Lonchura striata: one gene and its partners. The protein of the gene in region 2 interacts with the protein of the main gene of each other region in a biochemical or structural test. Links are inferred from orthologs where the notes say so. Each region holds a gene or a part of one and is shown on either strand. Other genes may lie near its edges.

What was found.
Region 1: of the proteins of IKBKB (region 2) and MAP3K7, one has a biochemical effect on the other in vitro, tested with the Homo sapiens proteins (5 studies listed by BioGRID). The link is inferred for Lonchura striata from reciprocal best matches to the Homo sapiens genes IKBKB and MAP3K7.
Region 3: of the proteins of IKBKB (region 2) and TNFAIP3, one has a biochemical effect on the other in vitro, tested with the Homo sapiens proteins (2 studies listed by BioGRID and IntAct). The link is inferred for Lonchura striata from reciprocal best matches to the Homo sapiens genes IKBKB and TNFAIP3.
Region 4: of the proteins of IKBKB (region 2) and NFKBIA, one has a biochemical effect on the other in vitro, tested with the Homo sapiens proteins (58 studies listed by BioGRID and IntAct, with this or other methods). The link is inferred for Lonchura striata from reciprocal best matches to the Homo sapiens genes IKBKB and NFKBIA.

Annotation. Positions count from the first base shown.
Region 1 is NC_134605.1:77,513,627-77,521,568, forward strand, and holds the start of MAP3K7 (mitogen-activated protein kinase kinase kinase 7), read left to right. Parts: upstream 1-4,931; 5' UTR 4,932-5,062; coding exon 5,063-5,152; intron 5,153-7,942. UniProt on the Homo sapiens protein: Serine/threonine kinase which acts as an essential component of the MAP kinase signal transduction pathway. Plays an important role in the cascades of cellular responses evoked by changes in the environment.
Region 2 is NC_134634.1:4,929,606-4,937,165, reverse strand, and holds the start of IKBKB (inhibitor of nuclear factor kappa-B kinase subunit beta), read right to left. Parts: upstream 3,008-7,560; 5' UTR 2,980-3,007; coding exon 2,875-2,979; intron 2,804-2,874; coding exon 2,709-2,803; intron 1,993-2,708; coding exon 1,875-1,992; intron 1,123-1,874; coding exon 1,053-1,122; intron 652-1,052; coding exon 563-651; intron 97-562; coding exon 7-96; intron 1-6.
Region 3 is NC_134605.1:51,072,763-51,079,882, forward strand, and holds the start of TNFAIP3 (tumor necrosis factor alpha-induced protein 3), read left to right. Parts: upstream 1-4,106; 5' UTR 4,107-4,461; intron 4,462-7,120. UniProt on the Homo sapiens protein: Ubiquitin-editing enzyme that contains both ubiquitin ligase and deubiquitinase activities.
Region 4 is NC_134608.1:25,273,783-25,281,437, forward strand, and holds the start of NFKBIA (NF-kappa-B inhibitor alpha), read left to right. Parts: upstream 1-4,642; 5' UTR 4,643-4,738; coding exon 4,739-5,016; intron 5,017-5,323; coding exon 5,324-5,432; intron 5,433-5,944; coding exon 5,945-6,155; intron 6,156-6,629; coding exon 6,630-6,718; intron 6,719-6,857; coding exon 6,858-7,118; intron 7,119-7,613; coding exon 7,614-7,655. UniProt on the Homo sapiens protein: Inhibits the activity of dimeric NF-kappa-B/REL complexes by trapping REL (RELA/p65 and NFKB1/p50) dimers in the cytoplasm by masking their nuclear localization signals.

The DNA of each region.
Region 1 (7,942 bases), on a different chromosome or scaffold from region 2:
ATCAACCTTTGATTAAAAAGATGTGACAGTTCATTCTATTTACTTCCATGCTCTTTAATATTCTCTCCATTACATTTTATTTTAAAGCCTACTGAGAGCAGAGTAATAGACACTTAGATGTCTGGATCTGTTTTTGCATCTTTCTAAAATACCTTTGCTAATTTATAGCTACCTACATTGACACCTCTGTTTAACACATCTTCCATCAGCAATTTCATGTACCATATCTTTCAGACTTCTCAGCTCAAGATCAACCAGTCTACAGTCATCTATCTCTTTCTTCTCCATGTGAAATTTGTTACTACCTTTCTCCCAAGCCAAGTCCAGCTGATGATAGCTGTGCCAGAGAAAATGTGTTTGTTTGGTTACAAGACTGAATCTATACAGTCTCTCACCTTTACTTTGCCCTTACTGCACAGTGGCTGCATTATTTGACTTTCCTGGCTCTCTTTTTGGTTTAGACTACTAGAAAAATCTTGGAGATCTAACACATCTCAGACTAAGAGGCAAAATAAGGTTCAGAAACAAATGTGATCATTTGAGTTTCTGTAATACTCATACAATAGAACTTTTCCTTTTACTAAAGTGAATACAATTCCTTGCATACAACTGAGTTTCCTATTTAGCAAAGCAGCTCACGCATTTATTTTGCAAAGCTTTTTTCAGGGTATTTTTAATATATGCATTTTATCACAAATAATAAGGAACACCCCCACTGAAGGAATTAATAGCTGTTTAGGAGATTTTACATAGTGTGGGGAAGTCTTCCCAGAATGCAAAAGAAGCAATAAAAATACATGAAGCATGCTGGGCATGCTATCTCAATGTATTTGGCAGAAGACACCTTTGTGATGTTTCCCAAGACTTTGCAAACGATTAATGCGGGACATAATTGAAGAACTCATTGAGATTCAAAGTAGAATCACACACAATATTGCAACCTGCTCTTGGGAAATATTAATGTACAAACCAAAGGAGTTGCATGAGAAGAGTGGATTACGCAACAACTTGGCCATGCAGAGAAACAGAAATCTCTCAATATAGTCACAGTGTTCTGTCTTCATGAGGTATTTCCACTGCACCTGCATTGGAACAAGCAGTGGGCTCCTCTTGGATGCCTCCTAGCTGGGATATGAATTTGTGGGGCACGTGTTTCATAGTGTTCTCCATACTACTATGGAGACATGCTCTTTAATCACAAAGGGTTCCCACAAATTGAAATAACGTAACTTCATATTTACAAGACAATATTTAACAGGGACAAAATAGAGTTAGACTTGGCAGAAACATTCCTGTGCTTAATCTAGAAGGGAACATTTTTTGATGTGGACATTACAGTTGCAGATACCATCCAGTATGTTCCACTGTTTTCTAGTTTCAATCTTCAATCACCTAAAGTGAAACATTTTAACCACTTTAAAAAAATGCATATACTAAAAATACAACAAAAGTTGAAGTCTTTTGAAAGAAGAAATCACTTAGCTTTTTTCTAAATTAGTGGAAAATAATGCTTCTTCACCCCTCTTTAAAAATTGTCAGAGTAACTTTAAGGGAGGTAGACAAAGGGTAGCCAGGATAATGTATCTGTGCTTTTGTCTGTATTCATGAAAATGTGTCCAAATTCTAAGTTGTACAATTCCATATTATATTGGATAAATTTTCATTAGGATCTGCAGATATTAGGGCTAAACTTCAGGTGTGTTAAGCTGTCCAGGTGGACTTTGTTTATATTTTGCATCAGACCTACTGCTGTCTCTTCTGAAAAAACAGAGCCCTATACTCTAGGACAGGTGTGACAAAGAGCTCCACAGCAGCTGTCTCAGCTTTGAGTGTGCACACTCTGGCTATGGTACCCAGATGTTTCCAACAATCTTCAAGTGATCACCCACCAGGCAGTGTAACTACTTTGCAATGTTAGAGAGAGGCTACTGAGACCCAGAATGTGGATTTCCCAGGTTCCAGGTTTTTCTCCAAAACACAAGAGCAGTTTTTGTCCAAAATAAACACAACAGATATAGCTTTTCTTTTCCTTTTTCTCCTGTATTTGTTGAATAAATATTTTGGAGATGCACAACCAATACTCAGTCCACAAAATAGCTAATTGTAACTAATTAAGATTATGTCAGTCGGGAAAGAAGGAAAAAAAAAAGTAATATCAAAATTACCACAGCCTTAAAACCCCTCCTGATCTTCACAGCAGTGACATTTTGATAATGATGATGATTCTGCCTTCACAAAGAAAGAGCTCATTATTTTTGATACATATTTCCACATCAATTTCTGAAAGGAAATGAACCTTACAAGCAACTATAATTGGAATGCTCTCTTCTGCTGTCTTAATACCCATCAACAAAGTATAACAAAGGTAACAGAAAAGTCTCTCCACTGAAAAACAGAAGACTGCAACTGCCATTTGCTTGATACATACCCTCAGGAGAGGTCTGTGAAACATAACAAAAAAACCAAATATTCAGTTACATTTACCAGAGATCACCAACTGCCAACGTCTAAAGCACAACCACCCTCTTGGCCATCTTTCTAAAAGGTACTGATGTAGTTCATCTTTCCCAATGCATATGTACCCAAAAAATAAATAAAACGTTAAGCTTTTGGCCTGAAAGCATGTTCATGACTACAACTAAGTATCAAGATTATGGATTTCAAGTATCCAGTGATGGATTTTCACACCTTGTTTTCTTTTCATTCATGCATTTTCCTTGGTTTCAGTTGACTTCAGGTGTTCCTTGTCTTGATCTACAAGTGTTTAAAGAACTAAAGCAATTCATTCAGCAGTATGAAGCCAGTATGAACCAGACTGAAAAGTCTGGTTTTTATTGAACTTGCAATTTTCTCAATCCCTCAGAAATCCATTTTCTTCATCTTCCAATAATCAATATATTGCATACTCCAGCAGCTGAGACAGCAGCAGCTGCTTACTCAAGTGATACACTTTCCTGTAAGTTGTGAAGTCCGGGTATAAACATGGCTCTTTATGACTGTGTCACAGCATGACCAAGACATGCACTAATAGTGGCTTTTGAAAAAATGAAAATTAAACACTTCACTGGGTATAAGGTGGTGCCAGGGTCTGTGTGAACATCCAAACCTATAAACAACCTGGAAAAGCAGGGGTTCTGAATAACCCCACTGCTGGATGAAGCAGGTCTAATATCTGCTTCGGATTTTAATATCTGCTGATATCTACTTCCAGATTTTGTGGTACTTGGACTAACAGAAGATTCTTTAGATCTTTCTACACCAAACCATATCTGAAAATCAAAAATGAACAGCAGAAACTCAGCACAGTCAGCATATGAGTCTGCTCGCCACGTATACGCAGATTGCTTGGGCAATGTAATTGCATCAACCCAACCAGTCCTGCATACGAGTTTCATCTTGCATGCCACAGAGTCAACATGTACTGTGACTGCTTGGCTGGGATTTCTGGACTGGTGTACATCTGAAAACCCTGTGCAAATTACAAAAGCTGACAGAAAAACACAAGAGGGGAGCAAACAACCCATAATGGCAACCTGCCACAAAGTGCAGCAGCTCTGATAGAGGTACTTTCACTTTGGCTTTTTAACAACAGCTGAGCCACCATAAGATTAGGTCACTTCCCATATTCATCCTTGATTTTTTTTTTTTTTTTTTACTAGTTAACTGTTTAAGTGACTTTCTCAGGCTAGCTCTGTAAACCAGATCTCTCTACATTTTTGAGACTTCCTTGTGAGGTACAGACATTCACTAGCATGCTAGCAGTGGAAGATCTAGGAAAGCTTACTAGATGTACTAAAATTACATACTATTAATAGTATTGTACAATAACATAACTTTTTATATATAGCCTGAAGGCTAAACATATAAAAATGAAGCACAGCTGTTTCAGGGGAACACAGCAGCTCTATTCACTCATCTCAGCACTGATTTCACACCATGGACTGCCCTGAAGCGTCAGTCTCAGACATTTCCCACCGAAACACTAATGGGGTGGGTGCTCCAGCCAAAAACAGGAGCAGGATACAGCCCTGGCAAAGAGCGGACAGGACTCCCTTGGAGAGGGAGCGGTTAAGGTGTACGTTCATCCCCCATCCCTTTAGTACTACTATCTGTTTACATCAACCGCTCCATTACCCCCACTCCTCAGCTGCCCTCCTACACACAGGTTTCCCCTGAGAAAGCACCGCTGAAGAGCACAAGGCCTGCCCTCGTCCCAAGACGCCGTACAGCACCTGCTGCCCTGGAGAAATACAGGCACACACCCAGGAAAAAGGCATGTGCGTATGTATGTAGGGAACAGGCCCCCGCGCTCGCAGGGCGGTACACGCAGCCCGGGACGGGGCCGCGCCTGGCAGCTGCCCGGACCCCGCCGGGCCCATCCCCGGCGGCAGGAACAGGAAGCGGGGCCGGCCCGGGGCCGCGGCTGCTCCCCCTGGCGGCGGCGGCGGGGCGCGGCGGGGGCGGTGCCGCCGCCAGGCCGTGGCCCCGCCGCGGCCGCCCGAGAGGCCGCTGCTGCCGGCGCTTCCCGCCCGCCCCCGCCTGGCGCTCCCTCCCTCCCTCCCTTCCCCGCTCTTTCACTCCGTCCCTCCCTCCTCGGCCGGGGCAGCAGGAAGCGGCTCTGATGTCAGCGGCGGCGGCCGCGGCGCGGCTCTGAGCGGCTCCCCCACCCCCGCCGCGGCCCCTCTCCCGCTGCCGCCGCCGGGGCTGGCGGAGGAGCGCGGCTGCGGCCCCGGGGGCGCCGCCTTCTCTCGCCCGCGGACGCGCGGCCGCGGCGGTCCCGAGCTGCTCGGAGGCCGCGGCCTAGGGCAGTCGGCGCGGCGCCCCGCGGGGGTGCGGGAGGGCTCGGGATGCGCAGCGGCGGCGCCGGGGCCTGTGCCCGCCGCCAGTGAGGCCCGAGGCCGCCGCGGATGCGGCCCCGGCGGCGCCTCGGCCAGGCCCGCCCCGACCTGCGCCGGGAACCGCCGCCGAGCCCCGCGTAGCCCCGGCTCCGGCCCTCGGCTGCCTGGTGCCGGACCCTCGCGTAGCCCCGGCCCCCTCTCCTCCCTGCGGTGAAAGAGGAGGCATGTCTGCTGCCGCCTCCGCTGAAATGATTGAAACCCCCCCGGTCCTCAACTTCGAAGAAATCGACTACAAAGAGATCGAGGTGGAAGAGGTGAGTGAGGGTCCCGCCGTGCCCCTCGCTCCCCGGGCGCGGCCAGCCTGGCCCCGCCACGCAGACCCCGAGCGCCCCCGGGGTTCCCCTCCCTGGCGCCGGCCCTCGGCTGCGGGAGGGTCCGCGGGGGCTTCGCGGGTGCTCCGGGGTGCCAGACCCCCCCAGTACCTGACCGGGGGTTCTCTGCTCCTGTGGATGCTACTGCGGCTGGCACCAGCGAACAAAGCGGTCTGGCTGGCTGAGAGCGGAGGTGCCAGCTTACTTCTGCCGGACCTGCTGCTGGATGCCTTACTGTGGAGTTTTGTTTAAACGGGATAGATTTATTCAGTCAGGACTTTAAAGTTTCGCCTCCCATTTTGCCACCCACTTTAGTATGGGTGGCAAGCATAGTTGTCAAGAGGGAACTGTTAACTCTAATGTTTCTTTTAGATCTCTATTTCTCTATGGCCCTGCTTTCACCTTCTGCCACCAAACTGAGCCATTGTGTATATAACGATCATGCTGCTCTTAATGATTTGCTAAATTTACAGCTCTGTGAGCTGTTACGATAAACAGGGTTTTTTTTTCTTAACATGGGCTAGTTATGTTGCACTCATGGATATTTAAGGAAGTCACATTCAGTAATTTTATAACAAAGTTGGAAGTTTTTCTTCTGTGAAATTCACATAGTGAAATTATTTCAGGTGTACCTTTCATCTGTCGGGTTCATGTGAAAGTAGGGGGGGTGTGATCTAGGGTAGCTCATATGCTTTGATAACAGGCTCAGTAGTCTCTATATACTACAGTGTTGTTTGACTCTCAGAAGTACACAAAAATATTTCTGCTGTTTTTTCCTGTCACCTACTGAATTCTCTACAGGAATAAAGTCTCTTCATGTAGATCTATAACAAATTTGATGAGTCCAGCTTGTAGAGTCTGGACTGCTGAAACAGTCCCTGTGCTTTTTTTATAGATTAACATTTTTCTCTTTAAGAGATAATTACCCTGTTTTCCTTAAAAAGTTTGTGTGGAAGTGGAGTTTTGTGTAGTAGCTTTTCTAGGTATGATAACCTGTGTCTCAGGTTTTTAGAGTAGTTTGCTAGATACTGGTTTGTTTATAATTATCCTACTAGGCTTGGGTCTCCTGAGGATAATTCAGGGACCTTAAAATCTGCCATGGGGCACCAGGGCACCTTCTGCTGTATTCAGGCAGTGTTGTGATAACTTCGGCTTTCACCATAGCAGGCACTGGGTGCTGGGAATTTTCAGAAGACAGTATATTTCAAAATACTGCCTTTATCTTTTTCTGTGAATTTGGCAACCATAAAGACTTTTGTTTTTGTAAGTCAAGTTGTTCTACCTGCCTTTATGCATTTAACTATTCTGAAGTGAAGTAATTTTGTTGTTTTTGTAACACTTAGTAATAGCTGGGGATCAAATAGCCTATTTTGGGAGAAATAGCATTTCTCACCCAATGAAGAAAGTTTAAGCTGGTTATCCATTGTAAAAAGGTGCCCAGTGATGGCTCACGGAAGTGAGTGCCACATCTGCTGTGTTAGATGTAGCCCTTTGAATTAATAAAGTGCTATACAAATCTTTAATCCTCACAACACACTTGGGGAGGTTGTTAGCAAGGATTGTATTGCTGTTTTACATGTAGGAAACGTGGAGCTGCATAGTGTGTAATTGGTGTAACTAGAGTTTAGTATTCTAAGGTTTAGTGCTCAGAGATTGACTGTCCCACACATGTGCCTGGTACTGGCAGAAACAGGATTGTCAGTACAAAAATGTATCTAGAGACAATGCCTAAGTAAAAATTTGTTTAATACAGTTGTTTTGTTATTCTCAACACAGTATCTTCGTAGAGATGCAAAACTCATGTGATATAAGCAAGAGAATAGAACTTTGATAGTGTCTCCATAAAAAAATCTTGTTAAAGCTGGCATATCGTTTTGAGTTAACCTGTCCTCCCAGAAGTTCTTATAGACAATGGGAATACCCTAGTGTTAAACACAGTCAAATGTCTTTGCACAGAGGAAGAAATAAGACCTACTTTACAAGAAAACAGATGGATTGGAAATCATACTTAGGTCTTGCTTTTCTGAGCTATGGGTGTTGACCTCTTACTCAGGATGCAGTTTCAGCACAAATAGTCAACTTTGTAGTCACATCAAAACACACATCCTTGCTGAGGATTTTCTGTGCTCTCACTTTAGGCTCAGAGGTTTTCAAGGATTTTAAGTGGCTGTATGTCTCAAAAACGTCTCAAAATTGTCATATTTATGCTTGGCAAACTTCAAATGTTTCAAAATGGAGTGTTAAGAGATCTACATTGGAAACTCAACTGCTTTTATAATCATAGCTTTGCTGTTGTATTATCAAGGCTGTCTTGTCAGCAGATAGCAGTCCCACTCTGACACTGGTTTATTAATAGATGTTGAAGTTCTGGAATACTTGCAGGCCCAGAGACCTTGCTAATAAACGTGAAATCTATAAGTACACTTTTCATTTAGTTTTGTCTGAACTCTACTGAGATAAAACCAAGAATTAACATATTTTCCTTTAGCTACTGTGCACATGACCAGCTGTAGTGTTACTTCCCACCAGTCAAACATATCTCCACCATCATAATGCCTTTTTGTTATTTCAAGTGCTTAAAATGAAGTAAACCATAGAGACAATTGTTATGAAGGAGTTGGAGTAAAATCAAAATCGATGTGACACGGCAGGAGCATCTTCAAAACTAAAACAGGGGAAACAACACAAAATTTAGTTCAACAGAAGTGCTCTCTATTTTACTATGCATGTGTT
Region 2 (7,560 bases):
TCTTACCAAGTACTGCAGAGTCCCAACAAAGGATGTGCATAGGCTACCCTGATCCAACTCCTTAGCATAACCAAGGTCAATGATTTTGTGTATTAACTGAAACACACAACAGAGAATAAGAGTGCTAGACCGAAATCCTGTTAAAAGCACATCATACAGCAGAAAGAAAATGTTCAGCTCTTCAAAGCTATACAGGAAAGGTGCTAGTGAAGAGGCAGAAGTAGAAATGGGAGGCTACTGTAGATTCCTTAAGCCACAATGAATTTGAAGGTGTCATAGCACACTTAGCAGTTATGTGTCTAGTTCCTTCCAATCTTAGGTCAATCAGTACAGTGTGGCTCTCTCCTTAATAGCTGAAAGTCGAAATGTCAGGTGTTAACAGATGTCTAATACAATGTCTTAGCTGCACACAGAATACTATTCATCTGACATAGTGGCCTGAGACAGGTGTTATCCTGGGCTGAGTGCTCTTGCAGAGGGACCATGTAACTGCATGAAGCACATGCATGCTCCTTATAAGCTTACTTGTCTGTGCAGGCAGAGACAACTGCTTCCTGCTTACCCTTTGTTCTCCTTGCTGCAGCACAATGTTCTCTGGTTTCAAGTCTCTGTGGATGATCCTGTTCTCATGAAGGTATCTGAGAGCAGAAGCTGAGACACACATAAAGGAAATTTTAAGAGCATAAGTAACAGTACCTAGACAAGATCAGTAAGGACTCGGTTCTATTTATGGCTTTCACATCAAACCTTGTACAATGAAACATACCATGAAACACTAAGTGTAAGGTGTAAAGTTAGCATCATAGAACTCTGGACACAAACTGAGTTCTCTCTCTGAATGTTCCCCCACATTCTTCCTTTAAACTGTAGTAACACTGGCTAGCTTCCAGTAGGCAAGGACCTCCCCAGACTCCCAACACTTTTGGTAGATGATCAAGATCATAAAAGGTCAGTCTAAAACTGAGTCACTAAGGTCACTGCTGTATATTTGGAGAGTTGATTCAGGACTAAAAAGGTTTCTATAGCTCAGACAACTGAAGGCTACCACTTACCAATGTCAGATAACAAGATAAGAATAGCTTCTTCCCGCAAGCCACAGCAATTCTCCAGCTGGTTCAGGTACTGCAAGTAAGCAACACAAAATGCAGTCTTTCCTTCCTCTATCCTGAGTGAAGCCCACAGTCCCGCAAATTCTCAGGGATACAAGAAATTTCAGCAACAGCAATTAAATTCTCCAGAAGCACAAAATTCTATGGGGTGTGACCTGTGACAGCAGCAATTACAGCTTCATAATTAAATCAGCCTTAGCTTAATTGCATGGGAGAATAAAGGAGTAGGTGAAAAGTCACTGTCATCCCATTCTAATCCTTCTGTTTGTTCCATCCCTCTTTGCCATTTCCCCTGTGCCTGCCAATATCAACTCCAATATGAGGCCTAAAGTCTGTGTTTTAGCTATGGGCAGATTACAGCAAAGGTCAGAAAAGCCTTAGGATTAGAACTATCATGTGTTATTTCTTCCTACAACAGACAAGAGTTAATCACTTTAAGGAAGGGTACAGCCTACAGATGCACCTACCCTACAATGGTCTTGGCCATACTCATATTCTGTTGCACATCCCTTACACTTGCCCTCATTATTTATGTGCAAACTCCTCACAGTGTCACTTGCATCCAAAAAACCAAAAGAGTTTCACAAAGCACTTAAGTCTTCAAAAGCTGAACATAGTATCAAGGACCAATCCACCAACAACTGGTGATGCCATGATAGAATTAGGAAGCCTCAGGATGTGAAAGCAAAGGTTCTAAGAGAACAGAAAACCCAGGATAAGATTAGAAGCTGACCCATTCCTTGGTTACCACCCCAGGGACCTCACCTTGCGGAGGTCTCCCCCTTGGCAGTACTCCATGGCCAACAGTGGCAAGTCATTTGGTGCGAGCTTCTGCATCCCTTCAGGGACATCGCGGGCAGCCACCACATTGGGATGGTTCAGTCTGCGGAACAAAAATTAGGCAAGTAGGCATGATGTTCTGCAACTGCTATACAATTTCACATGCTCCTGGTCATCACCTAAAGTGATCACAAATCCTTTTAGAAATTAAATGAGTGAATTCTGAAGGTTTGCATATTTCACGGATCTAGCCTCATTCAAACTCCTAGCATTTCACGTGCAAGACAGTGTGTTTCTTCAACACACATGCATTACAGATCTGTCTAGAAGGTACAGCAACAACTCTTGCAAGGAGTGCAAGGCAGTCTGTTGCCACCGTCCAGAAAAGACCCAAACTGCAATCAGACCACTACACCCGAAAATGCTAATCCAACACCCCAAGGGACAGACGTTAAGGCAAGCAAAGCAGCGGCTAGGTAGCAGCGTTGTTGTAGCGCTGAGGGCACAGCAGACGAGCCGAAGACGGCAGTGTGAAACCCAAGAGTCTCACGCAGCACCGTATGAAGTTTTCTTACGCGTGAACTTCCACCCACCTGCCGCCGAGCGGACCGGGCACCTCCCGGAAGGGGATCCCTTGGCGGCCAGCGGCCGAAAGCCTCTCCCACCATTTCCCTCAGCGCACCCGTCAGATCCGCGCTCCAGGGCCGCCTCCGCCACGCGTCCCGGGGCACCGACGCGACACCGCGCAGCGACCCCTCCGCCCGGCCCGGCCCACGCGGGCACCGGCCTCGGCCCGAGAACACCGCCGCCCCGCCTCACCTCTTCATGATCTGTATTTCCAGCGCCCAGCGGTCGCGGTTGCGCGGGCTCAGCTCCTGCCGGCACTGCTTGATGGCCACCTGCTCGCCGGTTTCCTGTGGACATAGTAAGGGTGGGCTGAGACCGGGTCCGGAGCCGGGGCGCCGCGGGCCCGGCTACCGCCTACCTTGTTGTGCCAGCGGATGACGTTGCCGAAACCGCCGGTGCCGAGGCGCTCCCGCATCTCCCAGGGCCCGCAGGTCAGCGCCTGCAGCGCGGGCGGGCGGCTCATGGCGGGCCCGGCTCCGCTCCGCGGGACCTGCGCTTCCGGCTCCGGCGCCAGCGCCCGCCCTTCCAGGGGCCGCGCCGGGCCGGCGCTCGGCCCGCTCGGGGCCGCCCCGGCGAGGAACGGCGGAGTCGCGATCGCCGTGGCCGCGATACCGCGTGGAGTCAGGGGCTCGGGATGAGAGGCGAGAACAGCTCGTGGACTGTGTAAGTAAAATTAAAGAGTTGCCGTCTTCTGCCCGCAGCATCTCCAAGATCTGCCAATCCGGAACGCACCATTTGCTTTTCCCACCGCACCGCCCGAGCCAAAGCGCTATTCTGGCTTTACATCGGGTTTGGCTATTTCTTCCTTCTGGGCTGGCTGGCGTGAGTTGCTTTAATACCACTGCAAAGATGCACAACAGTACGGGGGTGGAAACTGCTCTCCAAGATCTGCCACAACTCCAGTCGCCTGCGCTGGACCTGCCAAAGCCACCGGCCAGAGAGGGTCCCGCCGAGGTGACATGGGCCTACTGTGGGATGTCATGCTGTCACACTTCGTCACTGCCATTAAATAGTCCTGCTGAAATTATCCCAAGGATCAACGTAGAGAAAATCCAGTAGGTGGTGCTTGAGAGAGCAGACACTTTATTGCTGGCTTTCCTAAAATATGTTAAGCCCTACAATGGCACCACAGTCTGTAGACAATTATAGTTGTCCTTAAGCTCTGAAAAGCCAGGAAGTAATTTCTGAAATCTTCCCCCATGGCCATCAGTTTGTTAGCATCCTTAATCTAGAAATCAAATGGCTAGTATCTTAAAAAATAAAATAAATTAGCCCCTGCTCTCTCAGCAGTGTTCAATCTCAACAACTGGAAGTCCCTTCCAGAAACAGTCAAATGCAGCTACACATCAGATTTATGGCAGTAATGTTATCACTAGCACTGTGACTCTTGGAGAAATAAATTTTATAATCTTGACATAGATCTCCACACAGATAGAGTACGGGTGTTTCATCTTTACCATTATGCAAAATAACCAGTGCTGTGTTTTCCAAACGAGGTCTCTATGCACCTGCTTCTTAAAATAGAAGTCACTCACTCCACATACTGGTTCTTACATCTTATACTAGATTCTGTCAGGAGCTTGATTGCTAGTGTATCAGTTCCAAGCAGGTACGACACATTCATCACTGTAACAATTGCAGCAATGACTGTTTTCATAACAGTGCCCTAAGTTAATCACATTTGTCTGCCACGCTTTGATAACTGAATACTCATGACCACATTCTGGTAAGTAGATCTTCATTTTCTAGGGTGAGTAATATCAGTGAACATTTAACTCTGGCCCTCAACATGCTGTTCCTTATTTGTATCTAAAGTTCTAAGAAGTTTTGCTCATTTAACTTGAAAACTCCCCTGTTTCTTCTCCTGTGGCTCTGTTCAGGGCATGCTTTGCTCCACAATTGGGTCAAGGCCTCTCTGCCTGTGGGAACTCAAAATGTCTCTCAAACATTTTTAGAGGTTCCAAGCCTTAGTCAGAGGCATTCTAGACCCTGGCAGACAGCTGAAAAACAGCTGTAACTTTGAGTTGGGGCCATGGGGTGAGTTGCCAGCTTTGGAGGTGGAACAAGCAGTCACAAAAGGTTAGATAGTATAGTAAAAGTAATTACAAAGTAGAGGGGAATTTTTTTTTAGTATTGTAAAGGGGGGTTTTAGCACATATACAGGGGGGTTTTCACTTTGTACATGGGGGTCAGAAGTTCTAAGATGGAGGAAAGTGGGCTGATCCTGTTCTTCCTCCTTCTTTTTCCTTGCCTCCATGTTCTTGGTCATGTTGGCAGTCACAGATTGGTTTACAGTAGAAAAGCACTTTGTAATATAGGTAGTAGGTATTGGGGGAAAACTATAAACATGTAATACGTAATATATCATATAAAAGATAGCAGCAGCCCTGGGCGGGGAGAGAGACGAAGAAGACAGCAGATAGAGAGGATGTCAGGGTGTGTGTGTGCCTCTACCCAGGCCGCTGATCAAATAGCCGCAGTCCAAGAACATAATCTGTTAGATAACTAGCAATAAACTGCCTTGAGACTGAACAGCTAAAGCCTGTGGAGTTTTTCTTTGGAAGCACGGGTTGGAGGAGGAATTTCACCACCATATGAGACCCCAGAGCAAGGCTGTGGTTCTCACATCTGCCAAACATTTTCATTAGGAACACAGCACACTACACTTGTGTGTGAAACAGGAGTTTCTTGTTATTAGGACTAAGTCTACATACAGCAGACTTCTGATTATATTATAAATAATACAGCTGTGCATTCATTCATACTCCTAGAAGTATAATGGGACAGGACAGTTCGTTGTAAGGGATACATACTATTTTGTCATTGAACAATAAGGTATTCAATGGGGAAGAGATTGTTTTGAGAACTAAATCTGCTCTCTGACTGGAAAAGAGAAAGAACAAAACAAACTGGCTGTAAAATCCAGCAGCATTCCAGCAAGTAGCTTTCCTCCCGTCCTGCACAGGGCTCCCTCCCCAACAATCCGGATGCCAGCCGCCTGCTTGGACCATCCCCTAGATGCTCGGGAAGGGGTGGGATGCGGACAGCACGCCCCATGGCCCAGCTCCATCAGCACGCTCCACCCCCTCAAGTGGTGCTACAAGTAGGACAGAGAGATCAGAGCAGAGACACAGGAAACACAAACCCAGACTGGTCTGGAAAGAAAATCATCAAGACTACAGAAGAGAAAAAGCAAAAAGGTAGGCACTACTCTGCACCTGTTTCAAAAAGGGCATTTCCTGTTTTCAACATCAATGGCATTGTCATTAAATACTATTAAATATTATTATTTAATAAATCCCAATTTAATAAATGAAGTACCATGATAGTTAACTAACTGAACTATTGCCTTCCTGCTTTTGAAATAATTCATAGCGTAGGTAAAGATGCTAACTTTCAGTTGTTTCAAGAAAGCTGAAGCTTTCCAGGGAAAGGGCTGACATGCCTTTTTGTTCACATTTGATAAGTGACAGCTCTTTTTTAGGTCTTATTCCACATAGGTAAGATAATGCTTACATTATTACTGCTTAGGCTGTTAGTAATAATAGGTTAATATGTGGGATTTTAAGTGTTCCTGTTGACGATGCTTCAGCAAAAAGAGACAAATTTAAGGTATAATATAGTGTTCTATCCTAATGTATTTGAAAGTGTAGAATCAAAATGTCAGAACATCACATCTAGGTCTTTGACTTATTGGTCTAGTATTTTTGAGAGGCCTACCAGATGCACACTGCTTGCCGGTTTCTGCTTGGAGCCTTGTAAGCATACTTTTCAAACAGTCAAATTATTTCAATTTGACGGCTTTTCATTCCAGTTGACTGGCCTAAGTTGTACCTTTCCCAAAACTGAAAATAAATGTATGGCAACATCTGTTACCAGTTTTCCATGCATAGTGGGACAGCAGCTATCAGTGGATGGACAGGAAGAGGTGGGGGAAATGCTGCAGCGCTATAAGCTAAGATAGCCTGAACAGGGGCAACAGAAATCAGTGGAAGACAGGATGTGACATCTAATGTAAAACCACTTTAGAGAGACTATCTACAGCATTTTGCAGTATAAACACTTGCTGTGTATGGCTAGAACCTACTTGTACAGATGAATATATGAGTTGAACTTGATTAAGCCATGCAGGTGCTTTTTTAAATAGAGACTCCTCATGTCAGTCTTCCAGGCAAAGAAAGTATTAAAAAGACATTTTTAAGTTTAAACTACCTGCTGGTTTCAGGTACGTAGGACTTCTTCCAAGATATCAGTTAGGCCAGCTGTCCTCCCAGACAAAAAAAAAAACCCAAAACAAACAAAAATACCCCTTATGTTGTCTTGTTTTGGGGCATCTTAGCAGGTACCTCAGAAATAAGGTCTCAACAGTTCTTTACTGTGCTTCCCAGGCAGGAATTCTAACAAGGCAGCTCAGCTGTGATCTAAGTAGTTTCACTGAACAAAGCTTTTCTTGAAAACAAACGCCTTAGCTACCAGAATTCTGTTTCTTGCAGTTGTAAGAACTTCAAGCCTTTTCCACAGATAACAACAAAGATCACCTGTGATACCAACAATTAGCAAGTTAAAACATTGCTACTGTGGGATTCAGAACACAAGCCTGCATAGATGTAATATGGAACCACAGCTGCACGGAGTAAGGATACTACGCAGGGTTATGGCAGAAACCAAGCAACTGGATGGCAGTTCAGATCATTCACTTTGACTTTGGGAATGCTACTGATTTAGTTCAGATTGAATTGAAGTTGAAATTGAATGCTGAAAGTCAATTAATTGAAAATCACTTGTACCATTTTTAAAAAGGCGTGCCATACAATGCAAAAAGTTTCCTAAGAGCTGAAAATAGCTTGAAAATATATAAAAACTGTACTGTGAAATCTACAGACCAATACAAATCACTGAGATATGTGCCAAATTTTAAGGATTTTATCATTAATATGTGACTCAAAGATAAAGCATTGGGTAATTAAGGTCCTTGGAGGATGTTCTTGGGAATCTTTTTAGTCTGACTCACAGCTTAAGTCCCATCTTTTTGCAGCCTGAGGAT
Region 3 (7,120 bases), on a different chromosome or scaffold from region 2:
GAGAAACAAGGCAGTGAGGTCAATGGACCTTTGATTTGGCTTACTACTGCTGTACATATTCAGTTTAGCCACATGTCTAGTCTGAGTCTGCATCAAAATCTACTGAAATCACTTTGCTCTCCAAAACAGAAATAATATTGGTCTTCCTCTTATTTCTTGCTGGCGCCTTGTTGGAATTGTCTGTACTGTGCACTGAAGAGGGTCAGTAACGCTGGACTGTGCTGCTGTCTCTAATGCAACTATACATAGCTATGTCTGCAGTTTTTAGGGGCCCTGAGAGTTGCTGCAGTATCTACAGATATCAGAGGAATAAAAAACAAGTTACAAAGATCATAATCGCTTAAACTTTTTTATGCACTTCACAGACAACATTGCTGAAACTTATTTACAGACCAGGAGGTAAGTATACGGTGTGGTTAATGCCATACTTAATCCCCTTACAGGTAAAAAAACCTGTTCTTAAAAATGTCTAGTGCTTGCCTCCATAGCTCATTTTTCACAGTGCTTCACCAGCCTTAATGGGGGAATACCACGCTTACAGCTTAACCTTCAGGTTAACAAAAGGGGCTAAGGCAAGATTTGAACTTTCAGCTTCTTTGAACCCACTGCAGTTCCAGACCTTTACTTCTGACACTTCTCTCACAAATATTAAAAAGAAGGGGAAAATAAGCACACACACAACAAAAAGGGAAAAAAAAAAAAAAAAAGCAAAGGAAGCTTTGGCCCCCTGGGCCATAAATAAGAATCCCTAGTTCCAGTACAGTCACTTGCCAGAATACCCTGGTAAACCTCTTCTCTGGAATCTGTAGTTTCTTTTACTGGATTCAGATGAGTGTAATGGAAAAAATCCCAAAACCAGTTCAGCTCTTGCTATCTAAGTGGCAGACATGATTTGGGGTTTTTTGGTTCTGTTTGTTTGTTTTTTTTACCGTCAATACTTGATTCAGTAATAAGCACCATCTTTCTGTCTGATAAATGTTTAGGGGATATTCCCCCCTCTCTTTCCTTTGCACTGACAAGCTCTTATCACTTTTCCACCAGGAAAAGAAGCAACGGAACAGCTCCTGGAAGACAGAAGTGCTGAACTCAAGCATGACCTCAAGCACTGCTCTTGCATTAAAAGGGATTTCCCTTTAATGATCCTTTTCCTCCCTTCTAGATGAATCACACCTCATACAGAATTATCTGATATTAAAAGACACAGCAAATGATTGAATTATTAAAAGTCTGTATGTCACTATGCATAAATATTACTATAGTCATCATCCTAGCATTGAATATTATATGAGTACTATCTTAACTATGAGTCTTTCTTAGTGCAGCCTCTCAAACATTTGGCAATGGTGTTCTGAACACTCTGAGGTCTTGGTTTAATTTAGTGAGTGGGAACTACTCCTTCCTGAACAGTAAAAAGAAGCAAAGTAATTAAAATAATTTAGAGATATAGAGCTGAATGGGGCCTTGAGAGATTTCTTTTTTTTCCCAAGTACAATAAAGAATTGTTATTGATTTATGTGCATGAAACTGATTACTTAAATTTTCACAAAAAATGGATATTCTGCAATTCCCAGTGACAGCTTTCTCCAGGGTTATGTAAACATTACCACTTACAAGGGTGGACTGTTTCACCCTTATGCTTAACCAGAATGTAGATAGCTGAAAATGAAAGTATTTCTTATTCTGTCCTTAATACCAAGAACTTCCCTCTTCCCTCAAGAGAAACAGACATGCATATATACCTAAAAATATATGTGCATATGTACATAGTTATGTGTATGTATATGTGCGTATTTACATACGCACTTTAAAGAAGAAAATTTTCCTTGACTTTATACATCTGTCTCTATGTTTATATCTAATGAAAGATAAACATTTTACTATAAATTATGAGATAAACTATAGGGTACAGCTACAAAAAAAACAAAACCCAGGAGTCATTCAGAAAAGAGGAATGTATATTCATGCATTCTATAACTACTGATGTTGCTGATGTTTCTAATGTATTCCTATATTGCTGAGGAGTTATGGTTGACAAGACAGAACTTTATTTTGTGCTGTGCAAACTCAGATCAAATGAATTCCTGCCATCCTGCTCAGACCTGTTTGATAAACATCTGCTCTAGCAATGTGCAATCAACTTTGAGTTTATCAAGGTGTAAACAGTAATTATTAATATTCAGACACGCTTACCATTTAGAAACCAAAAATAAGCTGTTGCCTTTTCAGGTTTTCCTGAGTCTCAGCATCTCCATCATGGCTAGGTCTACTTGTTAATTTATTTGCTGCAGCTTCCTATACAAAGCAGGGTACAACTCAGCTCTTTTTTCCCTACTCCCTACCTTAGCTCATCATTCCTACTCAACAGTGAAGCCCTCCATCATTTGAAGTACTCTCTGTAAAACTCTGTCGGGGGCTGGGCTTCATATTATGTGAGAGAAATGTTTTGATAGAAACATTTTTTTTTTCCTCTAATCAGATGACTTCAGTAATCTGCTACCTCAGTCCCAATGAGAGAGCAGGGGAAAATGTCCAGGAGAAGGGAACCGGTAAGATGCTGACAGAAATATATACTGTATAAATCACAGCAGGGATGCTGCCCTAGTTATGCAAGCCCAGTTCCCTCAGGCATCCAGTTCCCTGGATTTTAGCCACCCTTCAGGTTATCAATCATTAAATGTGGAGCCTTCCTACCCAACTATACTTTCCAAGACAATAGAGAGGCTAGGGGAACAAAAAGAAAAAATAACACACCCACAAAAACCTTTAAAAGAAAATTATCCGAGGAGAGGAGGAAAAGAAACCTGGAAGGGATTATTCTTTTCCTGGCCATATCCCTGACTTCTTTTTGAACAAAGGCAGAGGAGAAGGATGGGCTGCTGTGCAGAGCCAGCACAGGCCTGTAAACCCTGGGAAAGATCATGTTGCCACATAAGCCTGTTGTGTGACATGAGCAAATGATCTGAGCCAGCTGCTGCTACTGGGAGTGAGGTGAAGGAGTTCAAAGCTGAACTCTTCCAAAATCCACCTGTTCTCTGAGGAGTCTATATTTAACACCTGATTTCAAGGTGTGCAGCAACCCTGGCTTCTCATCTTGCCACTGGGAGAGGTGGATACTCAGGAACAGGCAAGAGCTCATTATCTGGGAAGATGAAGTGTTTTAATCCTGCAAGAAACTGTATTTCATTTCTGTGTGCCTTCAGATTGTAAGGCTGTTGAGCTAGAAACTGCCCCTTTTCCAGCATACATCCCATCCATAAATCATATTAACAGGCCTTAAATATGGGGGGTTTGTTTAGTGAGGTTTTTTCACTGCTAATATTTCACAATATTAGCACATTGTTTAAAGGTGTGCATTGTTTACAATAATTAATTTTAATGATTCCTATAAATTACTAGTTGCAGTCAAGAAATTACAATCATATTCAGACACTTAAGATCTCCCCAACTTGATAGTTTTAGCCCACGGTTCTGGTCTTTACCTGCAACAATCTGACCTTGAGCAGGGCCAAATTAAAACACAATTAACATCTCCTGCCGAAAATACCAGCAGATTGGGACTATGGGGTTCTATATCGGCCTAACCTCTAATTGAAGAAATGAAGTCACTTGTGGTTACGTACAATACAGAGCCAAAACGGTGGAGCACATACAAGCTAAAAAAAAAAAAAAAACACCCACAAAAAAAAAATTGCTTGGGTCTGAAAACCGTCTGGAAGAACAATACTTTCCATGGGACGGGCCCCCTTAACGTGCTGCTGGAATGCTGGGGCAGGGATGCGGGCAGCTACACCCGAGCACCCGCACCCCACAGCTCCGTCCGTGCTGGGGCAGGCGCTGCCACGCGTGCCCGTGAGCGGAAGGGCTGCGGGGCACCGCCGGGGCGCCGCTCTGCGCGGCGACAAGGAGCTGTTCGGACCCAGCGACGCGACACCGGGCCGGCCCGTGAGCGGAGCGAAGCCTGCGGGACGGGATGGGCAAGCCCCTGCCCGGGAGGAAAGGAAAAAGGAAGGAAGACACGGCATCCCGGCTCCCGAAAATCCCGGGGGTGAGTCACGGCGGGCGGGGAGGCGCCGGGACTGCCCGGCGGCGGCGCCCCCTGGCGGCGGCGGCCGCGGGTGTTGTCACAGGCCGGAAAGTCCCTGTGCTCTGCCGGTGGAAATCCCCGGTGGGGGTTTTTTGTGTTGTGTTTTCAATCTGCTTGCCTTTTTTTTTTTTTTTTTTTCACCCAGGCGCTTAAACAGAAAGGGAAAAAAACAAGAGGCTGGGCTCAGCCCTTCATTCCGCAGCGGCGGCAGCGGCAGCAGCAGCTCCGGCGGGAAGAGGGTGGAGAGAAGGGCAAGAAGGAGCTCCGGCGCGGTGGGGATTGATGGATTCCGGGCGCGGCTGCGTCCCACCGCCTCAGCCTCGCTGCTGAGAGGAGTCGCGGCAGGATCGGCCGGAGGAGGAGCCGTCCGCGGAGAGGTGAGCGCCGCTCTGGGCAGGGCACGGCGGAGCCCGGAGCGCTTCTGCAGGAGGGCGCCTCGGGGACCAGGCGGGTCCGGCGCGGGCGGGGACGCTGTGCCCGCCGTGCCCGGCCCGGCGCGCAGAGCGGGCACGGCGCGGCCGAGCGTGCTGCGGTGCCGCGGGGAAATCCGCCCCGGAGCTCCGGGCTCCTTCTCCTGGGAGCTGCACCGTGTCGTGGCCGTGCCGCCTTGCACGCCCAGCCCCCAGCGGAGTTGTAGGTCAGGGAACCAAGAACGCGGAACACTTACTGCGTGTAAACCAGTGCTGTGGGATCTTTAAAAGAGCCTCGCTCCTCGCCTTCCGATTTGGCAAAGAGTAGTACTGTGTTTTGGTTTGTGCCGAGCAAAGGCACAGGCACTTGTAGCACTTTATGGAGAAGTTTATTACTTGCCGTTTTTCAGATAGAGGACAGAAAATGAAAATAATTTATGAAACCATCGGCAGATCTCAGAACAGTATTCCTCTTTCCAGAGCCCAGCATCCTCAGCATTACACCTTTGGAAAGGATGCTGTCTCTAATTATTGTTTACAGCTGTTCCTTTCTGGGAATTCCTAGTCATTACTTGTGAGAAGGTTAAAGTAGCATAGCACACAGCAAAGCACAGTAGACTATAAACTAATAAAACTGTAGGTTAGTTTTTTACTTTTAAATCTCCAGCTTAGATGTCAGTTGAATTCTGTTTGTTTCATCACATTGATTTTGAAAATAAGTGTTGCTTGGCTTTTGCCTTTGTTCACATTTATTACTGTAAATAGCACAGGCAGTAATTTCCACGTGTGGAGGGGAAAAAATGCTAGTAGAACATAGTATCGAATAATGTAGTTTCAGTGACTGCTTCTGTAAACTCAGTGTTTTTTGTTACTTAATGCTGGAAATAACCATTTCAAGAGGTGATGCCGGTAGTGCTTAGTCATGTGATTAGTCTTTATTAGTGTAAAAAAAATCCCATTGACTCAATATTTCTACTAACATAAGTAAGGAATTCAATATTTTAGTCGTCTCAGAGCAAAGTAGAGCTGGGTTATTACACAGTTTAGTAAGGAGTTGTTTATATTTCCTTTTTAGACACATTCATACATTTAAATACAGGATTACATAAATAGCATGTGTAAAACTATATTTATGAGGAAAGTGGATGAGAAAATACACAATTTTCATTTTAAGGCTGTGTGCTGATGGGGGAATGATAAGAATATGCCATCTTTATTCCCTAAAGAAAAGCTTTTCCATATGTTGCAAGATGTGACAGCTCTGCACACGGTCCCTAGTGTTCGTAGGGCATGTGAATGACATCACCCTAAAGTTGGGCTTTGTAGCATCACCTGTTTCATCTGCCTCTAGAGCTTGTCGTGTTATCCTGTATCTCTCCAGCAGCTGGTTCTCAGAGAGGTTATAGAGCTCAGCTCTTGGCACCTGGAGTTTGAGGTCCCCTCTCACCCTGAGAGGGTCTTTTCAAAAGCTTTGGCTGGGCATTTGGAGGTGGATGTTGCCAATGGAGGTGTCTGGGTGAAGAGGAGAGAGCAGTTGTTTACCTGTGGGGAAGGAGGTCCTGAAGCCCTTCTGTGCAAGAGGGGTCTTCTGCCTCCATAGACGTGGGAATGCCTTCCTGGTCAGTCTTGTCAGGCTTCTTCCTCTCTCCGTGACTCCAGTCTCCATGAGAAAACGTCCTAATAGTGGCATAAACAATTTTTGGTTGTTTCTTGTATCCCTGTACTTGATGTCCAGAGATTGATACACATATATATGACTTGATACTTGTCCTTAGATTCATAATCACAGTGGCGGATTCTCTTAATATGACTAGTTGTACTCTAAATATTTTAAGCATGCATACTTTTATTTGTCTTGACACAAACTTTGCTTTGCTTTTAAACAAAGCAAGAATGTTTGTGGACAGCATGGAGAGTCTCTCCCTGTAAAAACAGGTTATTGTTGTTATTTTTGTTCTTACTGTAGTGGACAGGGGTTTTGAGGGATGTGGTCTGTACGTTTGGCTCTAACTAGCCACAAAGTTAGTGTCCTCAAGTAAGGATTTCTTTGAGTGTAGCAAGTTTGAGATGTTATGGGTTTCTTTTTTTGTTTTTCCTGCTATACCCCATGAGGCCAGAGTTACTGAAGAAAGGGATGCAGAGCAGCAAACATTACATGTCCTACTGTGGAAATATATAGGGGGTTTTGAGCCAAATGGAAATGCTCTGTTGACTTACCACTGAGTAATAGTGGCACTGCACCCCCACACACCAGCATAAGCACTTCTGAGCCATAGCTCTACCACTTACAAAATAAAAAGAGCCTCAAGAAAAGTAACCTAAGCCTGTCCTCGAGTGACAAATTCCTCATCTACCATATCTGGCCACTGTAAGTATGAGACTGATACTAGCACAGCCTGCAATTATTTGTGCTTTTTCTGTACTCTACTGACCATCACTACTCAGAATGTATGAGCTGTAGAATCTGAAATGGTCTTTAACTGCTTTTTTTTTTTTTTGGCATGTTATCAAAACAAGAGCTTGAAATGTCCTGAAATTTAGCAAGTGCATATGGGATTACAGTGTACAATTATCAATTAGTTAAGTTTCCAGGATAATTTTCCCTTCCTTCAATCTTGTCTTCTCT
Region 4 (7,655 bases), on a different chromosome or scaffold from region 2:
AATTACTTGACTTATGTTTACCCTTAAGGCATAACAACAAAAGCAGTTTAAATTGATACAGTACATCTCATCCCTAAGGATCCCCAGAAATGCAACCAATTGATAAACATCCCACAGTTCATGCAGAGAAATACAGACCTTCCCAGAGATGCAATGCATCAGTTTAAGCCTTGCTAAAAATAAGCTGAAGTCAAAAAATAAAAGCAGACTAGAAGACTAGACTAAAAGCCAACCAGAACTCTAGATCCATTAGACTCTGGTCAGGACACTCCAGCTAATTATATTTTTATGTCCGTGGCACATGGGTAGGACTTTAAATGTCCTAATTTGGACCTTGGCTTTATGTGCCAAAAATTACCCTGCAGACTATTTACTTGGATATCATACCAGCTTAAATAAGGTGCAGAAATGCTTCCTACTGCATCCACCATTCTGCTCTTTGGAGTCTATGAGCAACCCAAAATAGCCTCTGATGAAAAGATTTGAGAAGGTAGGAATACAGGCCACATGGCACATGTGACTACCTTTTGCCTTCATCCTGGCTGACAAAAATTGACTTTGCATAACTTTCCTTTCTCTCTTTTGGCTGTTTTTTTTTAAGCTTTCAAATTAGTTACTTATTATTAGAAAGCAGGAGGGAAATATGTTTTCCTTGTTTACCATTGGACTAATTGTTCGGAGCTGCCTGGTTCTTATCTCTGTAGCAGCTGTAAATGGGCAACTGAGATATGTGGATTTTAACTGCAAAATATTATCAAAATTACAATGTCAAATGTCCCCTGGCTTCCCTTGGACCAGCAAAGTCCATAGACTTTTGAAGCAACAAACCAGAGTCCTATTCCAAGGGGTATCTGCACGTGCACATGCAAGTACAGACAGCAGGTCTACTTCACTGATTTGTTTTGCTTTTGGCTTTAACATCCTGGGCCAAGATCTTGCTGGATGTTGTTAACTGATAAATTTCCTGATACATTTCATGGGAGCCACATACGGTCTTTGCGATTAAATGAGAGGAATCAGTTAACGGGTATCTGCAGCAGCAGTCACAAAAGGATGAAGTTGTGGGACCAACTCTGGTAAATCAACAGCACTAGATGGTTGTCATGATTAGTGTGGCAATCAGGAAATTACAATTTAATGTGTTTGCTGGAGGAAGCAGCAAGAATTCTTCACGTAGTTTTAAAACAGATTAAAACCCTACAGCCCCTTCTCAGTATCCAGACACTTGAGGCTGCTTCTCAGAGCCCTGCCAGTTGCTTTCTGCAAGGTAGAATAAAAACAAACATCACATCTCTACAGCACCACAGCCTTGCCAATTGAGTGCTCAGGGCGCCTAAAGTGGAGGTGGCTTTTGTAAAACGTAGCTCTTAGGTATGAGCTGCAAAACCACCTCCCGTGGTTACAGTTTTTACATTGTTAAAGTAACTTTTAGGTAGTCCTTTGGCATTGAAGTACCTGCTGGACCAGGCAGCAGAGACTGCTAACATAATCCCAAATTAGAAATGCAGAGAATATTAATCTCCTCTCAAAATGACAAGCACAGAAAACACTTCTCTGAAATTAATGCAGACATAGCAGAGGTATTAAACCAGAATACACAAGCAGACAAAGAAGGTTCAGGTTGACACAGATGACTGCAGTGGTTATGAAGTTTTGCTCCTTTTTCATCAGGGTTCATGAAGTTTTGCTACCATTTCAGCAGGGCCAGCCCCTGTCCCTGGATAGGTACAGCTGCTCCATCTCCTGGGGGCCTGTCTGAGCTCCCCAGAAAGGCAACACTTGGGTGAGAGGCAACACAGGAAACTAGGTTTGTGATAGGCTCCACCCTATATCCAAAAAGCTGAGCTTATTTCTTTCTATTCTTTTTCTCTTGTGGACCATACAGAAAATTGCATAGAAGAACTGCTTGAACGTGATAATTTAAATAAATAAATAAATAAATGAAAATAAAAAGGAGAGTACTTCAACAGCACAAAGCAGGACCGATGACCTTCACCACTCCAACACCTTTGCTTTATGCTATCCTCTATTATGTCATCCCTTCAGGCAAGTATTGTACGACTGTGCTGACTGCGAGGAGTTACAGGGAAGACAACAGCCTTATTTGCTTAATTGATAATGAGGTCTCCACTGGCCTCTGCATCTGCAGCTAGCTGCTGCTTTGCATATGGGTTTAGGGCAAAATCCCTTCTCCAGCCTGCTTTTCGTTGCCTAATACCCAGGTTACTGGCCCATGTGTTGGCCCCCCCATGACATCTAGGGCCAGGCTGCAGAGCATCAGCATCTCCCTGAGGCAGGAAGTGGGCTGGCCTCAGCGTGACTTTCCATCCAGAAAACATTTTCCATCAGCTTTCTGCCACCTACAACTGGCTGCAGTACTGCCAAGTTAAAACACACACAAAATAAAAGCATCTCGTGTGCCTCTGAAAAGAGGCTGCTTGCAAATGCTTGCTAAAAATAGCCCTGTGGTGGCCTGTGAGGGCAGCTGGAGGTCTCTTATAGAAGGAGGCAAAGAATTCCCTTTGCTGATGTTAGTTTACAGCCATCACAGCTAGGACAGGAGTTTTCAAGTTTAATGTCTGTGTAGTTCTAGCAAAATCCCAATTGCACAGAGCAAGGTCCTTGCTGAGCTCAATTCCCCTGCTAGTCAGAACAGTCAGCTTGCTTTTCAACTCCCTTCTTCCTTTTCTGAAGAGGTGCGGATAGGACGAGATTCATTTGTTAATTAAATTTCCCCTGCCAATTTACATTAGAAAGGGGGAACTGTTTCAAAAAGCTCGCGAAACTTTCATAACCTTTAACTTTAAAAAGAAAGAATTTTACAGCTTTTTTCTAAACCTGCCCAAAAGCACCACTGGATTGTCCCAGGCCAAGTGATGAATACTGAAAAGAAGTCCAGGAATGGCACAGCTGGGCTGAAAATTAGAAACACTTGCTCACAGAAAGACAGGCATTCTTCCTCTCCTCTGGCTCTTTCGTTTTCTTTGGATTTTCCCCTAAGTTCTAAGTTCAAAGGGATGCCATCCCATGGGAAAATGACAAAAGGAAAAAAAGTACAGACTCTGTTACTCAGTGAGGCCAGCAATAGTTGCAAGAGAAGAAAAATTCTTCCTGGGAATCCCCTACATCTGAGAAGCAGAAGCAAAAATTCACCAGGAAAAAAATCACTGCCATCAGCTCTGCAGACAGACAATGCCTTTTATCCATGTGGGATCCTGCATTTATCCAGTTTTTATTACCCACGGATGGCATAACAGCAGTAAAAAAAAAAAAAAAAAAAAAAAAAAGGCAAAAAGCAGAGCAGAGTCACTAGGAATAGCCAGAGAAAGTAAGAAGAGTGGCTGAAAATGTAATTTCTTCTTTAAAAGGTTTGTTTTGTTATGGAGTGAAAACTTCCACAGCAGAGATGCAAAATCCTCTAAATGCTGAGGCAACACCTGCACACTTGCAGGCATGGCAGCGTAACACCCATCATGTGCAATACTGCCTGAATCCCTCCAAGAAGCGACACTCCTCACCAAGCAGGGCAGATGCAGTGCACTGATGCAGTAGCAGCCTCAGCATTGCTCTGCTGGTGCTTGATTCGCTGACATTTTACCATGACTTTGCTGCCCTGGGTTTGCTAAAAAGCTTGCTCCTCATCGTTAGGTAAGTGCTGGTTAATGAACTCCGAAGGTGGTCCCTCTCATCAGACTTCAAAACGATCCTCACAAGGCTCAGGGATGTCATTGTGCAGACTGTGCAAGAACGAGGTGCCGTGCTGCACCGCACCTTGTGGGTGATGGAGCTTCTAGGAGTGTCAATGCTTACGGCGAGACTCCCGGCAGGACCACACCGCAGCCCTGCAGTGCTTGAGGGCAGCCTATAAAAACAGATAGGGACAGCCTTTGTAGCCGGGCCTGCTGCCACAGGACAAAGGGCAAGGGATTAAAACAGAAGGAAGGTCAATTTAGGTTAGATATAAGGAAGAAGATTTTCTACAATGAGGGTGGTGAACCCTCTGGGCAGCCTCTTACTGCTAGAGATTGCCCAGAAAGGTGGTGGATGCCCATCCCTGGAAAAATTAAAGGTCAGGTTGGATGGGGTTCTTATGCAGTTGGAAGATGTTCCTGCTCATGGCAGAGGTGTTGGTCTGGATGGGCCTTTATTTTCTCCTAAACTGTTTTTCGAAGGAATGGCATGCCATGGGAAAATGACAAAATGGAAAAGAAAGCAGAAACCCTCAGTCAGAAATAGTTGCCAGACAAGGGAAAAACCCTTGTTTTCTGAACCCTTCCAACCCAAATTACTCTGATTCCGTGATCCCGCAGTCCCTCTTAGGAAAGTTGCGGAATGTCAGGGGGGACGCGGGGTGCACTGAGGCGCCCCTCGGCCTCCAAGGGGCCCCGCAGCGCGCCCGGACCCCGAGGAGCGGCGGGACCGGCCGGGGAGGAGGCGTCGGAGCGCCGGGACCGGGCAGGGTAGGGCAGGGAAATCCCCGCGGGGCGCGGCAGGGAAGTACCGCCGGGGACGCCGGAGCGGCGAGAACTTCCCCCCTGGAAAAACGCCAAGTTCCCTCTCGGCCCGGCCTCTTCCCTCCCCTCCGACGCCCCTTCTGGGCGGCCCGAGCCGCTCCGCCCGCCCTGCCAGCGCCGGCGGCGCCGAGCAGGACCGGACCCGTCGGTCGGGCTTTGAGTGGCTGGAAATTCCCGTCCTCCGCGGCTCCTCCCCCGCAGAAATCCCCCGGGCCGCGCGGTATATGCGAGCCGCCGCCGCCGCCGCCGCTCACTCGCAGCGCCCGCGCTCCGCCGCCATGATCGCCGCTCGCCGCGCCGCCGAGCCGCCCGCCATGGACGGCTACGAGCAGCCCAAGAAGGAGCGCCAGGGCGCCTTCCCGCTCGACGACCGCCACGACAGCGGCCTGGACTCCATGAAGGAGGAGGAGTACCGGCAGCTGGTGAAGGAGCTGGAGGACATACGGCTGCAGCCCCGCGAGCCGCCCGCCTGGGCGCAGCAGCTGACGGAGGACGGGGACACGTAAGTGCGGCCGAAGCCGGGGCAGGGGCGGCTCGGACGCGGCGGGGAGCCCGCCCGGCCGGCGCGGGACAGGATGTGCTGGCCGGCGGGGCGGCGCCGCGCCGGCAGCGAAGGGAGGGGGTGCGGAAAGTCCCTGGAGCGGCGCCAGCGAGAGGCGGCTCCGCGGCCGCGGAAAGCCCCGGCCGCGCCGAAAGCCCCGGCTTGCGACACCCGCGCCGGAGCCGGGCCGGGCCGCCGGGCGCGGGGCTTAGCCTGCCGTCGGGGGGATAACGCGTGTCGCTTAATGAGTGCTTTTTTCCCCCTGCAGTTTTCTCCACTTGGCCATTATTCACGAGGAAAAAGCCCTGAGCCTGGAGGTGATCCAGCAGGCAGCCGGTGACCGGGCTTTCCTGAACTTCCAGAACAACCTCAGCCAGGTACTTTCACCTCCATAACCCCAAATCTGGATCAGCCCCTGCCACACCCACACACTCCTTCTGGGGAATTCCCCCAAAAAAGTCCCTTTAATTTTTTTTTTTTTTTTTTTAATTGATGGAATCAATTGAATCAAAGCCTACGTTCAGGAAAGTCCCCAGCTGGCTCCAGCCAGTATTGGTACAATGCTTCCTCTCCCCTGGGAGAGTGGCATTTAACGCCCACATTTTTCAAATATGATGCCATGGGTTGCATCCCTCTTTATGGAGATGTTAATGATACCCTTCATACCAGCTGGCGGTTGGTTTATCCAGAGAGCCCAAAGTTCATCACTTCCAGATGAATGGGCAACTATACAGCAACTTGGGAAGCATAAAGAACTGAGTTCTGGGTGTGCTTTCATGCTTTTATTTGTTGGCACAAATCACAAAGTGAACAAGAGGTCTGCTTGTCCAGACGTTGGTGCCAAGTTTGTGGTGTAACTTACAATCTGCTTTTGCTCTTATGCTTGCAGACTCCTCTTCACCTGGCAGTGATAACTGATCAGTCTGAAATTGCCGAGCATCTTCTGAAGGCCGGATGCGACCTGGAAATCAGGGACTTCCGAGGAAACACCCCCCTGCACATCGCCTGCCAGCAGGGCTCCCTCAGGAGCGTCAGCGTGCTCACGCAGTACTGCCAGGCACACCACCTCCTCGCTGTCCTGCAGGCAGCCAACTACAATGGTACGGCCACACTCCTGAACACTTCGTCTTGGTGTGCTGCACTGCGGGTAGGGTCGGTCTCCTGTGATCTCAAAGATCTCTGGAGAGGTGGAGAAGGATTATTATGTCCCATTTGAGAGTTGAGGAGCCCAAAGCAGTGTCTGACTTTTTTGAAGTGAACTTTCTTATAGGCCTTCTCACTGTTGATTATAGTCTCTCATGGCTTTCAACTTTGCATCTTTAGTGACTGCCTTTGCTGTGCACCTTCTTTTTTGTTAGTAACAAGTTGCACTCAAACACTGTAATAAAGCCTCCAAGAAATCTTTTCAAAATCCAACCCTCTTATTTATACTGGAAGCTAGAAAGCTCTTCTGGAAAACACCGTTTTGACATTGCAAATTTAGATTTCATCCTGGCCTATCATCTTGCCTTTTAAGTAATGATGAGGCATTGAGTTAGACTTACTCAAGTTTTCCCTTTGTTTGTGTCTTCCAGGACATACGTGTCTTCATTTAGCATCTATCCAAGGATACCTGGCTATTGTCGAGTATCTGCTGTCCTTGGGAGCAGATGTAAATGCACAGGTATGTAATGTGTACCATGAATTTAACTCAGTGGGGCTCTTAATCAGTAGATTGGAATCAGCAGTAGTCTTACAAAACAGCAGATCTGACAATGGCTCTGCTCTCCTAACATGCTGAACCTTACACTGTTTTCACACAGGAGCCATGCAATGGCAGAACAGCACTACACTTGGCGGTCGATCTGCAGAATTCAGAACTCGTGTCGCTTTTGGTGAAACATGGGGCAGACGTGAACAAAGTGACCTATCAGGGCTATTCCCCCTATCAACTCACATGGGGCAGAGACAACTCAAGCATACAGGAACAGCTGAAGCAGCTGACCACAGCTGACCTGCAGATGTTGCCAGAAAGTGAGGATGAGGAGAGCAGTGAATCGGAGCCTGAATTCACAGAGGATGAAGTAAGTAGCTGTTTTCATTTTTACAAGAGAAAGGGGAAAATTCTGTTCTGTGCAGGGTATTTTTTGGTGCCACTCTGATAGCTTGCCCCAGTGACCTCTTGCTGTGTAACAGATAGCTATACCAAAGATTACGCAATCAGCAAAATGGCAGATGAGGCAAGCATGTAAATGGAGTAAGAATAAAATGTAAAAAATAGCACGAGGGAATGGAGGTTAATTTCATGCAACGGTTCTCTGAACACAGTTCTGTTGCTGACACAGAACCTCATGAGAGAAAATTCAAGTTAGTGGGTGGTTTTCTCCTCCCTATAATTTGTTTTTCTGACATTCTGAGTGCTGCATTAAATGGCGTATGTAACCATTTTGGTGTAGAAATTTTATACACTGCTGAAGAATTTGTATGTAGAATTTGGCTGTTATCCCAGAATGGATATGATACTTCAAGTAAGATTTTTGCATTAACAACAGCATTTTGGGTTTTTTTTTTTCTTGCAGCTTATATATGATGACTGCCTTATTGGAGGACGACAGCTGACA